Sus scrofa: one gene and its partners. The main gene of each other region encodes a partner of the protein of the gene in region 2 in a complex. Links are inferred from orthologs where the notes say so. Each region holds a gene or a part of one and is shown on either strand. Other genes may lie near its edges.

Region 1 (3,001 bases), on a different chromosome or scaffold from region 2:
GTGGCTCTAGCGTGCAGAAGGGAGCATCCTTCGGCCTCCCGGCCTTCCCTTATCGCACTAGCCCGTCCTTCCTGTCCAGACCCCAGAGCCCTTGTCCCTGACCCCAAAGTCACCTCCCCATCAAGAGAGTGGAGGAGGCCCAGCCTGTGTCGCCTGTCCTGCTCCCCTTGGGGATCTGAGCCTGTTCTCTGACCCCAGCTTAGAGGAACTCGGTGTTGCCAGGCCGGGGAGGGAAACAATGGGCCTTCCGGAGCAGGATGACACCACCCCCTCCCGGACCAGCAGCGTGGGAGGGAAGATGGGGCCCACCCTGGGGCCTGTGGGTCTAAGGCTCAGCCTGTCCCCCATCCCCACCCCCGAACCATAAGGGCACCTCTGGCAGCACTAGACGTGGAAGGAGCGCTGAGAGTGCCCCCGACCTCAGATAAACCTCTTCTTCCTCTAGGGGGGAGGTGTGCAATCCTTGCCCCCCGCATCCCAACCACACACAGACACAGGCCATGTCAGTGACAGGTTTAATGAAGTTTGAAAGGCATGCGCGGTCGGGCTCAGAGATAGGGAGGCCCCGCCAGGCTCTCTCTTTGCACCTCAATAGAAACGATGTGGTGTCCAGGTACCATAGCTAGGCCCAGCACACGGGGTTCCCCGGCAGAGAAGGAATCTGGAAAGAAGGATCAGAGCATCAGGGAGGCAGGCCAGCGTCGGTCCCGCCCCTTCTGAGCTACAGCTTCTGGCCCCCGAAAATGAGGGATACAGCCAGGCCCTGAAGGGGAAATGCTCCGAGGCATTCCCAGGCGGGTATGCATTCCCCAGGCACTGACCCGACGGCTTGAGGAACTCCTGCGCCGAGCCTAGGATAACATTGCAGTCGCGGTCGGTGCAGAGGAAGCAACCGACCAGTGTCCGTCCATCTGTCATGCGAATCCGCATAGTCTTGTTGAGCAGCGCCTCCAGCTGCTGCCTAGCGCGCGCAGACGGCGAGTCTTCGCGCTCCCCGTCTGAGTCCTGCGCGGGGCGGGACATGTGCTCAGACCGCACCGCCCCGGCTGCTGCCCGCCCGAGGAACCACAGCTCCCAACAGCCCGCGGGGCGCTCGCAGGAAGCCCAGAGGCTGCCGGGAGCTGCAGTTCTCCCTCCGTCCTCCCACTTTACTCCCCGACGGCCCCTCAATCCCAGAACCCGAGCCCGCGCTAACCCCGGCGCTGGAGCTGCTTTGACGCCGGCTGCAACAGCCATTCTCCTCTCGTAGCAGCATAGTTGGTCCAGCTCCGGCCATTTGTCCGCGGGCCTCCTCCAGGCCCTTCAACTTGCTGAGAACCTTTCGGCTCCGGGGGGTCTGAGATCTCGCGAGCGCTCCCGACCTGTTTTCTTTCGCGAGATCACCTCCCCTCCTCGTCTCCTCGGCAACTGCAGAGATCTCGCGAGCGTCTCCTGCTTCGGCGAACGGCTCGCTGAGGTCTAGGTCGCCGGATGTCCTCAGATATCGCGAGAAGTTTTCACCTCTCTCGGTTCTTACATATCCTTTAGGAACCCTGGAAGGAAGCGAGAATACCTTTTTTCTTAATCGCACTCCCCACTCCCTTGTTTTTCTGCCTCGCGAGATAGTACGTCCCAAGCACTCCCTATAGCCCAGGCCACTCAAAATTAAAACGGAGGGTCTTTTCCTCCCCCCGGAACTCCGGAGGACACCACTCAATTACTTCAACGTCGGAATCGGACCACGTTTCCCGTGAGCCCCACCTCGCCCTCACAGCGTCTGATCTTGACAGACGGTGGCCGGAAAAGGACAATGGTTTCCATGTCAGCGGATAAACGCCCTCTCCTTAGTTCCCGGACGAGAGGGAGGATGCGGTAGTGAGTGCGCGCTGAAAAGCAAGAGCGCAACTGAAGGAGCCGGTGAGAGGGCGAGAGCCATGCTGCGCCGGGGCCTAGTGGCCGGGCCAGACTTTGAGTATTTCCAGCGTCGCTATTTCACGCCGGCCGAGGTGGCCCAACACAACCAGCTGGAAGACCTCTGGGTGTCTTACCTGGGAAACGTGTACGACCTGACGCCGTTGGCACAGGAGTACAAGGGTAAGGGCTGCACTTTTGGGCCGGCGTCGGGCGTGCGTTTGGGGGTGCTTGGTTCTTGGGTGTCTAGCACTGACACGAATGCCCCTTCCCAGGAGACCTGCTGCTGAAACCCATCGTGGAAGTTGCGGGCCAGGACATCAGCCACTGGTTCGACCCAGACACCGGAGACGTGAGTTCTGCTGGAACCTGGGGTTGGGGGGAGGGGCACTGTAGAGCGGGGACGAGGCGGAGGGGCTGACCGGAGCCCGAGATAGTGACTGCTCAGACCCCCCTCCGCCAAACCCTACTTTAAAGATCCGCAAGCACATAGATCCGCTGACCGGTTGCCTGAGATACCGCACCCCCTGGGGCCGCTTTCTGCACGTGCCACCTCAGCTGCCGCGTTCGGACTGGGCCAATGATTTCGGGAAGCCTTGGTGGCAGGGGTCGCGTTACGAGGTGGGGCGGCTGTCCGCCAAGACCCGGACTATCCGCATCATTAACACGCTCACGTCGCAGGAACACACGCTGGAGGTGAGAACTGGTGCCTGGGGGCAGGTGAGAAGGAACTGGGAGTCCCAGCAAACCTCCTCGCAGATCTGCAGGCCAGCAGCTCTCCGTAACTAGTGGCAGCTGTATTTTTTTTCCGCTTTTACGGGTGACCAAGGGAAGAAGACGACCATGTAGGTCCCCGGGGTTAGCAATTCGAGGAGTGGCTGAGCCACAAGGTGTGAGAGACTCCCTCAGAAGTCCAGGGTAGTTTGGGCGTCGTAGTTTGGTCCTCCCAAGTTCATGTTGAATTTTGAACAGCAGTTGCAGGTGGACTCTCTTATTAGCCTGCTCTATTGTGGAGATGAGGTGAGGGGGCAGTGACTTTAGGGCCAACTGTTTATTAGAAGTGGCTGCCCTAAAGGCTGGTAGGATTTGGGGGCCATTCATTGCATGCTGG
Region 2 (4,254 bases):
CATAAATACTTCATAAAACTTTTCCCATTCAGGTTTATACTGACAGCCCTCTAATACTGATCATTTAAAATCAGTGCAAGATGACAGGTGTGCTCCACTTAACAGTTTAAGAACACTAACTTTCACTTCTTTCTCACTCCTTCAGACAGACATACGTGGGCAGTCACCCAACTCCCAGTCTAATGTTTTTTCCACTATCTCACTCAGGCATCCTTTAACTGGACATGTATTTCAAAACAGTTGAAGGGTGAGCACATGATTTATCACTCTGCGTATACTCAGCTGGCTCCCTTTCCACCTGCAGCTGCTCTAAGTCTTTATTCCTCTCCTTAAGAGCACTATTCTAAACACACTCCAACATCACAAAAAGTCTAATCCTCTTGTTCACTAACAGAAGCCATCAAGGTATGAATCCCTCCACCCTTCCTCCTCACCCACTTAGAAATATACCTGTATCATCACCATCCTAACCTCCGTTCCCCCTCACTATGTTCCGACTTTTTTCCCTCAGGTTAATTTCTCTACCTTGTTCCTGATTCCATCCTCTCTTAAAGTTCCAGCCCTCACTCTATCATTTGTTCCTTTCTCTTATCTTTATTCTTGCCGAGACGCTTTCCCCTCAAACAACAAACATGCTCACTTCGCCAATCATTTATGCCCAAGCATTTGAACTTGACTATGTGCCAGGCAATGTGCTATGCACCAGGATTATTGACAGGATCTCTGCATTCACAGAGCTCATATTTCAGTGGGTAAAGGTGACAATAAACAATAGTTGAAAATGGTTTCCAACAGTGGATAAGTGCTATGAAGAAAATAAAACAGGGTGATTCAACTGAGGTGGAGTTGAATAAAAAAGAATGAGGGAGTTCCCATTGTGGCTCAGCAGCTTATGAACCCGACTAGTATCCATGAGGACGTCAGTCTGATCCCTGGCCCCACTCAGTGAGCTGTGCTATAGGTTGCAGACGTGGCTCAGATCTGGCGTAGGCCAGCAGCTGTAGCACTTGATTCGACCCCCAGCCTGGGCACTGCCACATGCCGCAGGTGCAGCCCATGAATCTGCTTTGATTGGTTGTTTTCTGAAAATCTCACTGTGAAGCTAACATTTAAGTGGTCAAGAAGAAGCCTGTGATGTGAACACCTGGGGAACCGACCCTGATGTGTTTATTAAGGATCTTGGGACCAACGTAATGAGCCCAGTGGAGCAGTGGTACAAAAAACAGTCTGAGCTGTTGGCAGGCACCAGATCATATTGGCCACAGGGAAGAAGTTTAAATTTTATTCTACATACAGCAGGAAGCCAACGGAAGATCTTAAGCTGGGAAATGATGTGATGTGACCATTTTCAAACCTCAAATATACACAAACACTATTGTCTTTGGGGCAACAGAATTCCTATTTCCGCAGTTTGAAATTATTGCTATGTACTCTCAAACTTATTAAAGTTAGAACATGTTAACAGAAGAAACTGCCTCAATGTCTGTATTTCATGATATATATAAACTGGCTTCAAACAAAAGTTAAAATCAGAAAATAGAGAATGAGTGTGGTTAACAAGCTCAATAAACCGCACTTACCTGTTGATTTTCTTTTTCATTTACTGCTACAGTTTAGAAATCACAATCCACATTTCATTGCACCCTTTCTCAAATTTTGAACTTCTATTTCAAAACTTCAAACTCACCTCGACAAGCTTCTTCAAAATCTTGGGTTATGTCCACCCAGTTCGTATTGCTTTTTTCCATCTTTTCTGGTGTACTGAGCTCCCATCCTGAATCATCATCTTCTACAGAAGCTTTCATAACCATTATGCCTATAAAATTAATACTGGTGTAAAAGAGAGGATGTAGCTTTCAGGACAAGGGTACTGGCAAACCATGTGTGTCTGTTTAAGTACTGGATGAAAGTCTTACTAAACTGTCTGGGCAGAGCTCTTTTGAGTTTGTGGACGGTACTGTAAAAAATTACCTTAATGCAATTAAATTTCACGTTAATTAACACTACTGGTCCACCATCTACGAGGGCTCATAAACAAGTTTGCCTATTTCATAAGAAAAATCACAAACCATCCCAGCACTGGCCCAAAGAGAACCAACTCCACTGTTTCCAACTTTCAACGCTGGCCACAAATAACCAAGGCACTCTTCAAGGTCCCCTCTCGCAGCCCAAGACCCCATGCGGCAACCACTCAAGTCAAGGGGGTCCCTCCCCTACCGGAGCTTGCTGGATCAACCTCTCTCCGCTCGGCAGGACCCCAGCATGGCCTGTCCGGGGGGCACCGCACAAGGGAGCGCACCACGGGGTCCCAGCCATCGGGCTTAGGGCGGAGGTGCACCTGAAGCGGGGACCCGGCTCACCCGGGTCAGCCCGGCCCGGTCCCAAAGGCACGGAAGCAAGGACAGAGCTGCCGTCGCGCGGGAGGACGGGCATGCCCGGTGCCAGGTCGTCGCCCGGTAACACTGTGTAAGGCCGGGCCCTCGGCGGACACTGGGGAGCCCGTAGCTCCTACCTGAAGCGCGGCGGGAGGGCCGGGGCCGCAGGGTGACCTGGAGTCCCCCGGGTCTGCCACACGCGCGAGGGGCTGCGGCTGTCGGACACGGGTAGGAGGAAGTCTCAAGGGCTCCGCACGGTGGTTCCTACCTACTTCTCCCGTGGCCACTCGCGCCGCCACACAGTCCGAACCGCGGAAATAAAGACGCCGCCTCGGCTACTGCCGCCGCCGCCGCCGCCGCCGCCCCCTCCCCTCTCAGCCCAGCCCGACCATCCGCGTGCGCGCATGCGTACGCCCAGTGCGCGCGACCCCGCCTCCTCTCCCTCACGCCAGGGGACTTCGCGCTCCCGGCCACACCCCCTTCCTAGCCACTGCCGTCATTCGGCCGTTGGAGGCCATCTTCTCTTCTCGCGAGATTAGAGGCAATCGCAAGACCGGAAGCTATCTTCCTCCTCCAGCCTTGGGCAGCGACCTGGTTAGTGGGTGGGTCCCAGTAAGGGGCGGAGCCTGGGGACCCAGAGCCCGCCCCGCCTCGTCCCGCGCAGCTCCCTGGGAAATTCTTAGAAAGGTGAAGAGAATCAGGAGGAAGGAGTGGAAGTAGGTGTGGACCCTTGATGTTGGGGCTGTGAATGAAGAGCTCAGCTCTGAAAGCTCCGTCGAGTTGGTTTTGCCTGACACTTGATTTATGTTTCCTAGAGAATCTGGGGAGTTCATGAGGAAGAATGGAAACAAAATATCAGCAGAATCAAGTCATTTTCTTTTAGACCCATTACATGGTTTAAAGCTTTCCTAAAATTAGTAAAATGATCATTTTTAAAGTGCAATTAAATAAGTAGACTACTACGGGTAGGAAACAAAATGCATCTTTACCACCACGTTGCCAATAAAATGGCTAAAGTTTAAGAGATGATACCCAATGTTGAGGACACAGAACAGTTGGAGCTCCAATTTGCTGGAGCTGGAACTCAGATGTTGCTGATGGGGAATGCAAAAGGATACAACCTCTTTGATAAACAGTTCATCTTTTACTATAAAATTAATCATGCACTTACAAGACCAAGCCATTGGTCCACACAAAAACTTGTACATTAATTTTTGTAGCTTTAAAGACCAAAAACTGGCAACAACCTTAATGAGCAGATAAACAACTTGTGGCATATCCATACGATGATGTGTAATTATTCATATAATGAATAGTAGTTATTGACAAACAGGGATGAGTACTTGACATGCAAAAATATGAATCTCAAAAAAATTCTGAGCAAAGGAAATCATTATGGGAGTTCCTGTTGTGGCTCAGGAGGTTAAGAACCTGACTAGTTTCTATGAGGATGTGGGTTCGATTGCTAGCCTCACTCAGTGGGTTAAGGAACCGGTGTTGCCATGAGCTGTGGTGTATGTTGCAGACATCACTCGGATCCTGCATTGCTGTGGCTGTGGTATAGGATGGTAGCTGCAGCTCCAAATTTGACCCCTAGCCCGGGAACTTCCTTGTGCTGCAGGTTCTGCCCTAAAGAGGGAAAAAAAAAAATCAGTATGAGCAAAAGACTAGACTATAATTTTATATGTAATTTTTAAAAAGACAAATTTAATCTGTAATGACAGAAAACAGAGCAGTGACTGCCAGAGCGGGAGGAGGTGTGAGGCAGGATTAATTGGAATATGGCTAAGTGATTGGAAGGGATGGAAATGTTCAAATCTTGATCATGGTAGTGGTTATATGGCTAAATTCATTTGTAAAAGTTCAGTGAAGTACACAC
Region 3 (4,136 bases), on a different chromosome or scaffold from region 2:
CAAACACAGATCATGTCTTAGGTTTTCTATTTTGATGAAATGGTTAGAATCCTGTAAGAGCAGTTTTGTAGAATATAAAATAGTTCCCAGTTTAAACAAACATACTAAATTGAAATTTAGCAAAGTGAACACAGAAACTAGCAGAACCATCATAATCTAAAATACTGAAGTTATATTTTCAGATTACCACCAACCTGAAGAATCAAAAAGACAGATTTCTAAAGTACTGTTAAAGCATCTTGCAGGGCATTAATAAATGCAGGTAAGTCAATTTTAAAACAATAAATAATGGTAGTGGCTTTTCCCTTCACACATAATAAAATACTCCTTAAAACCATGTGGCCTCTCCTTGATAAAATTCAATGGAAATGACACGCTTGTAAGTACAACATACAAAGCACATACCTGCTGTCAATATTTAAGTGAAAGGTTTCATACAGACTGAAATGGGTCAATATTACTGGGAAGTTATTGGTACTATCAGTACTACAAAAGTTAAAAAAAAAAAAATTATTCAGCTTGTTTGGTAGCCAAGTCTTTTCTACCATATATAAGTAAAAAATTTCTGTCAGTTATATTTCACACAAGCTAGTACTATTACTAGTATTTAGGCATATCTCTGATTTGCTTCTTAAAAAAAATTAGATTAGAAACAATTTCACATGTTTCCTACACTCCCCAAATGGGTATTCCGTTCAAGTTTCAAGAGTCTTTCAGCCATCAGAAGTGTTAGTAGCACCTTCTGAAGTTGTGCACCAGAAAGGGGCTGTCTACAACTAAATTAACTGTCCTGTTAAAGTAAAAGGAAACAATCTCCATAATTATGGAATATGTTTGTAAGATTTAATTCTCCAATGTGGCCACAGAAAGTTTACTGACAATCAAATTCACCAAAACATGTTTATGCATACATACACTCTTCCCTGATTATGGCTGTAATTGAGAGATTAATAAGGCCTGTATCCGAAAAGAACCGTGTTCAAATTAAATGATTGCAAAGTGCTTTGAGTATGAGGGAGGATAATTAAAGACAGTCAAACATGATTATAAGCTAATGCAAACAGGATACAAAGACCCCCAACATACATCATACAGGCTGGTTGCATTTACATCAATATCAAGTTAACCCGGATCCTGAAGTCTTACCTTCAAAACAGTTTCATTAAATAACTAGCAGTGTGTACACGCACTTTACATCATGTAAGGTACTAGGAAAGGCAGTTCACATCCACTGCCACTCCAGCCCTCACACTCCCTGCCCTGTACGGCCTGGATCTCTCTGCTGGGTTCACCCTTTTTTCATTCCATCCACTTACCAAGAAGCACAGCTGTGGCCAGTTGTGAATAAAATATCTATAGGTATAAATGGAGTAGGGTTCAGACAGATCTTTGGTGATCAGTCTCATGATATCGGGCATTTGTAGCTCGGATTCATATCGGACATAACGTATCGTCCGATCCTCCCCAGGCTCAACCTCCCTGCCTGAGGGGCTTCTTATACTGCAGCCGGCGGTCAGGGATGAAGACAGCAGCCGCACCTGCTCGTCCTCCTCCTCCTCCTGCTCGGTGCCCTCCGCCAGTCCATTGCGGGCCGCCGCGGGATCGCTCGCCGCCGCCGCTGCCTCTGCCGGGCTGGGGAGCGCAGTTCTCGCATTATTGGGGAGGCAATGAGGGGGGCCCTCGCCCGAGTGTACCCCGGCTCCTTTTGTTGCAGTCACTCTGGGACCCCCGTCGGGGGTGGCCGTGATCGTGGCCGCCTCGGCCGCACTCAAAACCTTGGTCTTGAGAGAGGTGGCCGCCCGTAGGTGCCGCAGTTCGGGGTTGATCAATCCGTTGAGCTGCAGCTGCTCCTGCGGCGGCTGAGGGCAGCGGAGGCACGGACGCCCCTTGGTCGCAGCCGTCGCCTCGCTGCCCGCCGGGCTCCTGCCGCCGCCTTCGTGCTCCTCGTCGTCCTCCTCGTCCTCGCTGCAGCAGGCGAGGGCGGCCCCCGCCGGGAAGGGACAGCGGGGCTCGGCCGCCGCCGAGGCCGGAGGTGCTGGTGGTGGGAGGAGGCTGCTAGGCCCAGGCGGTACCTCCGCCATCCTAGAGGCGACACAGACAGAGAGAGAAGGCCATGAGACCCAGCCGACTAGCGCGGAGCAGAGGGGGCGAGGGGCGGGGGCGCCGGGGGTTGGGGGGAAACAAAGGCAGAAACCGTCCCTCACAGGGCTGGCCCCCCAATTTCGCGCGCCCCCCCCAGCTCTTCAGCGCCGCCCAGTAGCTCAGCCGGCCACCGTCCTGGTCCGCCCGCGCCCATCCGCCGGGCCTGTCACCGCGGCCTCTCCCCGTCCCCTCCGCGCAGCTCACCCCGCACAGGTCCCCGCCGCCACTGCCGCCACTCCTCTTCCTCCTCAGCCGCCGCCGCCTCCCTCGCCGCCGCGGCCGCCTCCTCCGCCACCAAGGCTCACACTCTACCGCCGTCGCCGTAAAGCGCCTCGGCTGTTACCCCGGGTAAAGTTTCCTGGGCCTGGCTTTACGACACTTCCCTGCCTGCCGGCTGCCAGGGCCGAGGGAAAGGGGCGTGGAAGGAGATGACCTGTGGAGGGGCGGGGACGGTGGTGTCTCCTGCGGGCCTCCGGGGAGACCGCGTGCTAATGGGTGGGGCTGTGGGGTGGGGAAGTTAGAGAAGGCTGTGGAGTAGCTAGCTCTGAACGCACAGTCCTCGGCTTTGGGGCTCCTCAGCCCGTGGACCTTGCAGCCCCGGGCCGAAGAGGGCTGGACGGGACACGCGTTCCAAGGAGCTGCGGCGTAGACCGCCAGCTCGGGGCCTGCTCCCCCGGGCTTGGGCAAATCTAGAAATGCTTTTCCGCAGCTGTATGACGTTTTAACCTTTGCCCTGACTGGGGTCAGGGGGCAGGTTACCCGAGTCCCTTAAAAATGGAGCAAATCAGGAGAGAAAAATCCTTGAAAAGGAGAAGTTAAAATATTTGCACTGTGAAAACATGGGAATAGCTGTTGAAACCTGGTGGTATGCTGTGTGAATTAAGTTTAGGCTTTACCACTTCGAGGCAGAAGAAGCTGCCTCTCTCCTTATCCCCTTCACCCCGCCGAGGAAAACTGGCGGTAAATGGAATTAACAGGTGCTGGGCAGCTGCAAGCATACCTGGGGCAGAGTTACAGATGGTGAAAGAGAGTGATAATAGCTAAGAGGCACATTCCTAAACGTGACCCGAATTGTGATAAGGTGAAAAGCACCGGTCAAGAGGTGTCCTGAACCTCCTCCTTGCCCTCTGCCAAGTGGTCGGCCGGAGCGAGTGGATGCAAAGGGAAGAGAACTGCTGCACGCGCTGAGCGCCAGGCTCCACTCTTTCCGCTCTAATCCCCAGCGGACGGTTTTCAGCCCATCTGTTTGAAGAGGAATGCAGGTAGTGTAACTCACCAGCTCACGGAGCAAATTAAGTTTTTTAAACTGTAGAGCTAGGCAGGTGTGCAGCAGGTAGATGTTTTCAGGGATACAATTCTCTTGAGTATTCGCAACTTTTGCCATAATCCAAACTAAAAAATAAGATAGATTGTAGCATTGCTGTTAGGTACAACTGTTAGGGTCCTTGTCACTGAAGATGTTAAGGAAAAACTATAATCCTCTATCTGGAAGGTCAAACTATAGTGATAAAAATGGTAATAATAAAATGTGTTACTATGTGCCAGACACTGTCCTAAATATCTTACATGTACTCATGTATAGGTTTTTATAAAAACTCATTTGTAGGTTTTTGTAGAAATACATGTGTGCATAGATAGACATGTAGAAGCTTATTTATTTCAGCCTTGTGTGTAGTAGGAATAAATAATTCCAAAGCACCTAAGGATCTATCAATACAGGGATGATTTTATGATACACAAATACTATAAAATATTATTAATTACGCTATTGTTTAAGAGATTGAAATAAATATACATTGGTACTTTTCACCTTAGTATGGCTGCAAATAACCCCCACAACATGTGGTATAAAACAACCATGCTCACAGATTCTGTGGGTCAAGAATTCACACAGGGTACAACAGGGATGACTTTCTCTGCTCCATTATGCACAGAGCCTCAACTGTGGGGATTGGAATCATCTGAAAACTTTTCACTCTTCCTTGGTAGTTGAT

The links.
Region 1: the proteins of NAA35 (region 2) and NAA38 are in contact, whole or in part, in a cryo-EM structure (PDB 7MX2), measured with the Homo sapiens proteins. The link is inferred for Sus scrofa from reciprocal best matches to the Homo sapiens genes NAA35 and NAA38. Residues at the interface, in NP_001308810.1 of Homo sapiens: Val30, Asp31, Ile32, Thr33, Phe36, Ala39, Cys40, Leu43, Leu45, Glu47, Leu48, Leu49, His50, Asp51, Phe54, Glu58, Ala59, Ala62, Ile63, Glu64, Met65, Met66, Ala72, Gly73, Met74, Gln306, Arg307, Leu309, Pro310, Pro311; in NP_001307854.1 of Homo sapiens: Ala41, Arg42, Leu45, Glu46, Leu48, Leu49, Arg61, Phe67, Leu68, Cys69, Thr70, Asp71, Arg72, Cys74, Ile77, Arg97, Val98, Leu99, Gly100, Leu101, Ala102, Met103, Val104, Pro105, His108, Ser111, Ile112, Glu113, Val114.
Region 3: the proteins of NAA35 (region 2) and NAA30 are in contact, whole or in part, in a cryo-EM structure (PDB 7MX2), measured with the Homo sapiens proteins. The link is inferred for Sus scrofa from reciprocal best matches to the Homo sapiens genes NAA35 and NAA30. Residues at the interface, in NP_001308810.1 of Homo sapiens: Leu45, Gly46, Leu48, Leu56, Ala59, Met60, Ala62, Glu64, Lys69, Glu121, Phe313, Pro314, Arg315, Ala444, Leu510, Glu511, Leu512, Glu517, Pro605, Lys606, Phe607, Glu608, Leu609, Asp610, Val614, Arg615, His618, Arg619; in NP_001011713.2 of Homo sapiens: Glu221, Pro238, Ser240, Tyr242, Thr243, Arg245, Tyr246, His249, Asn250, Lys304, Ile324, Glu334, Asn335, Leu336, Gly337, Val339, Arg340, Asp341, Lys342, Arg343, Phe345, Arg346, Tyr347, Tyr348, Leu349, Leu359, Trp360, Leu361, Arg362.

What each region holds. Positions count from the first base shown.
Region 1 is NC_010454.4:53,110,748-53,113,748, forward strand, and holds NAA38 (N-alpha-acetyltransferase 38, NatC auxiliary subunit), read right to left. Parts: upstream 1,501-3,001; 5' UTR 1,277-1,500; coding exon of another isoform or gene 1,237-1,276; coding exon 822-1,236; intron 662-821; coding exon 549-661; 3' UTR 502-548; downstream 1-501.
Region 2 is NC_010452.4:29,319,904-29,324,157, forward strand, and holds the start of NAA35 (N-alpha-acetyltransferase 35, NatC auxiliary subunit), read right to left. Parts: upstream 2,807-4,254; 5' UTR 2,644-2,806; exon of another isoform or gene 2,513-2,643; intron 1,817-2,512; 5' UTR 1,812-1,816; coding exon 1,688-1,811; intron 1-1,687. UniProt on the Homo sapiens protein: Auxillary component of the N-terminal acetyltransferase C (NatC) complex which catalyzes acetylation of N-terminal methionine residues. N-terminal acetylation protects proteins from ubiquitination and degradation by the N-end rule pathway.
Region 3 is NC_010443.5:186,528,466-186,532,601, reverse strand, and holds the start of NAA30 (N-alpha-acetyltransferase 30), read right to left. Parts: upstream 2,814-4,136; 5' UTR 2,347-2,813; intron 2,083-2,346; 5' UTR 2,082-2,082; coding exon 1,317-2,081; intron 1-1,316. UniProt on the Homo sapiens protein: Catalytic subunit of the N-terminal acetyltransferase C (NatC) complex. Catalyzes acetylation of the N-terminal methionine residues of peptides beginning with Met-Leu-Ala and Met-Leu-Gly.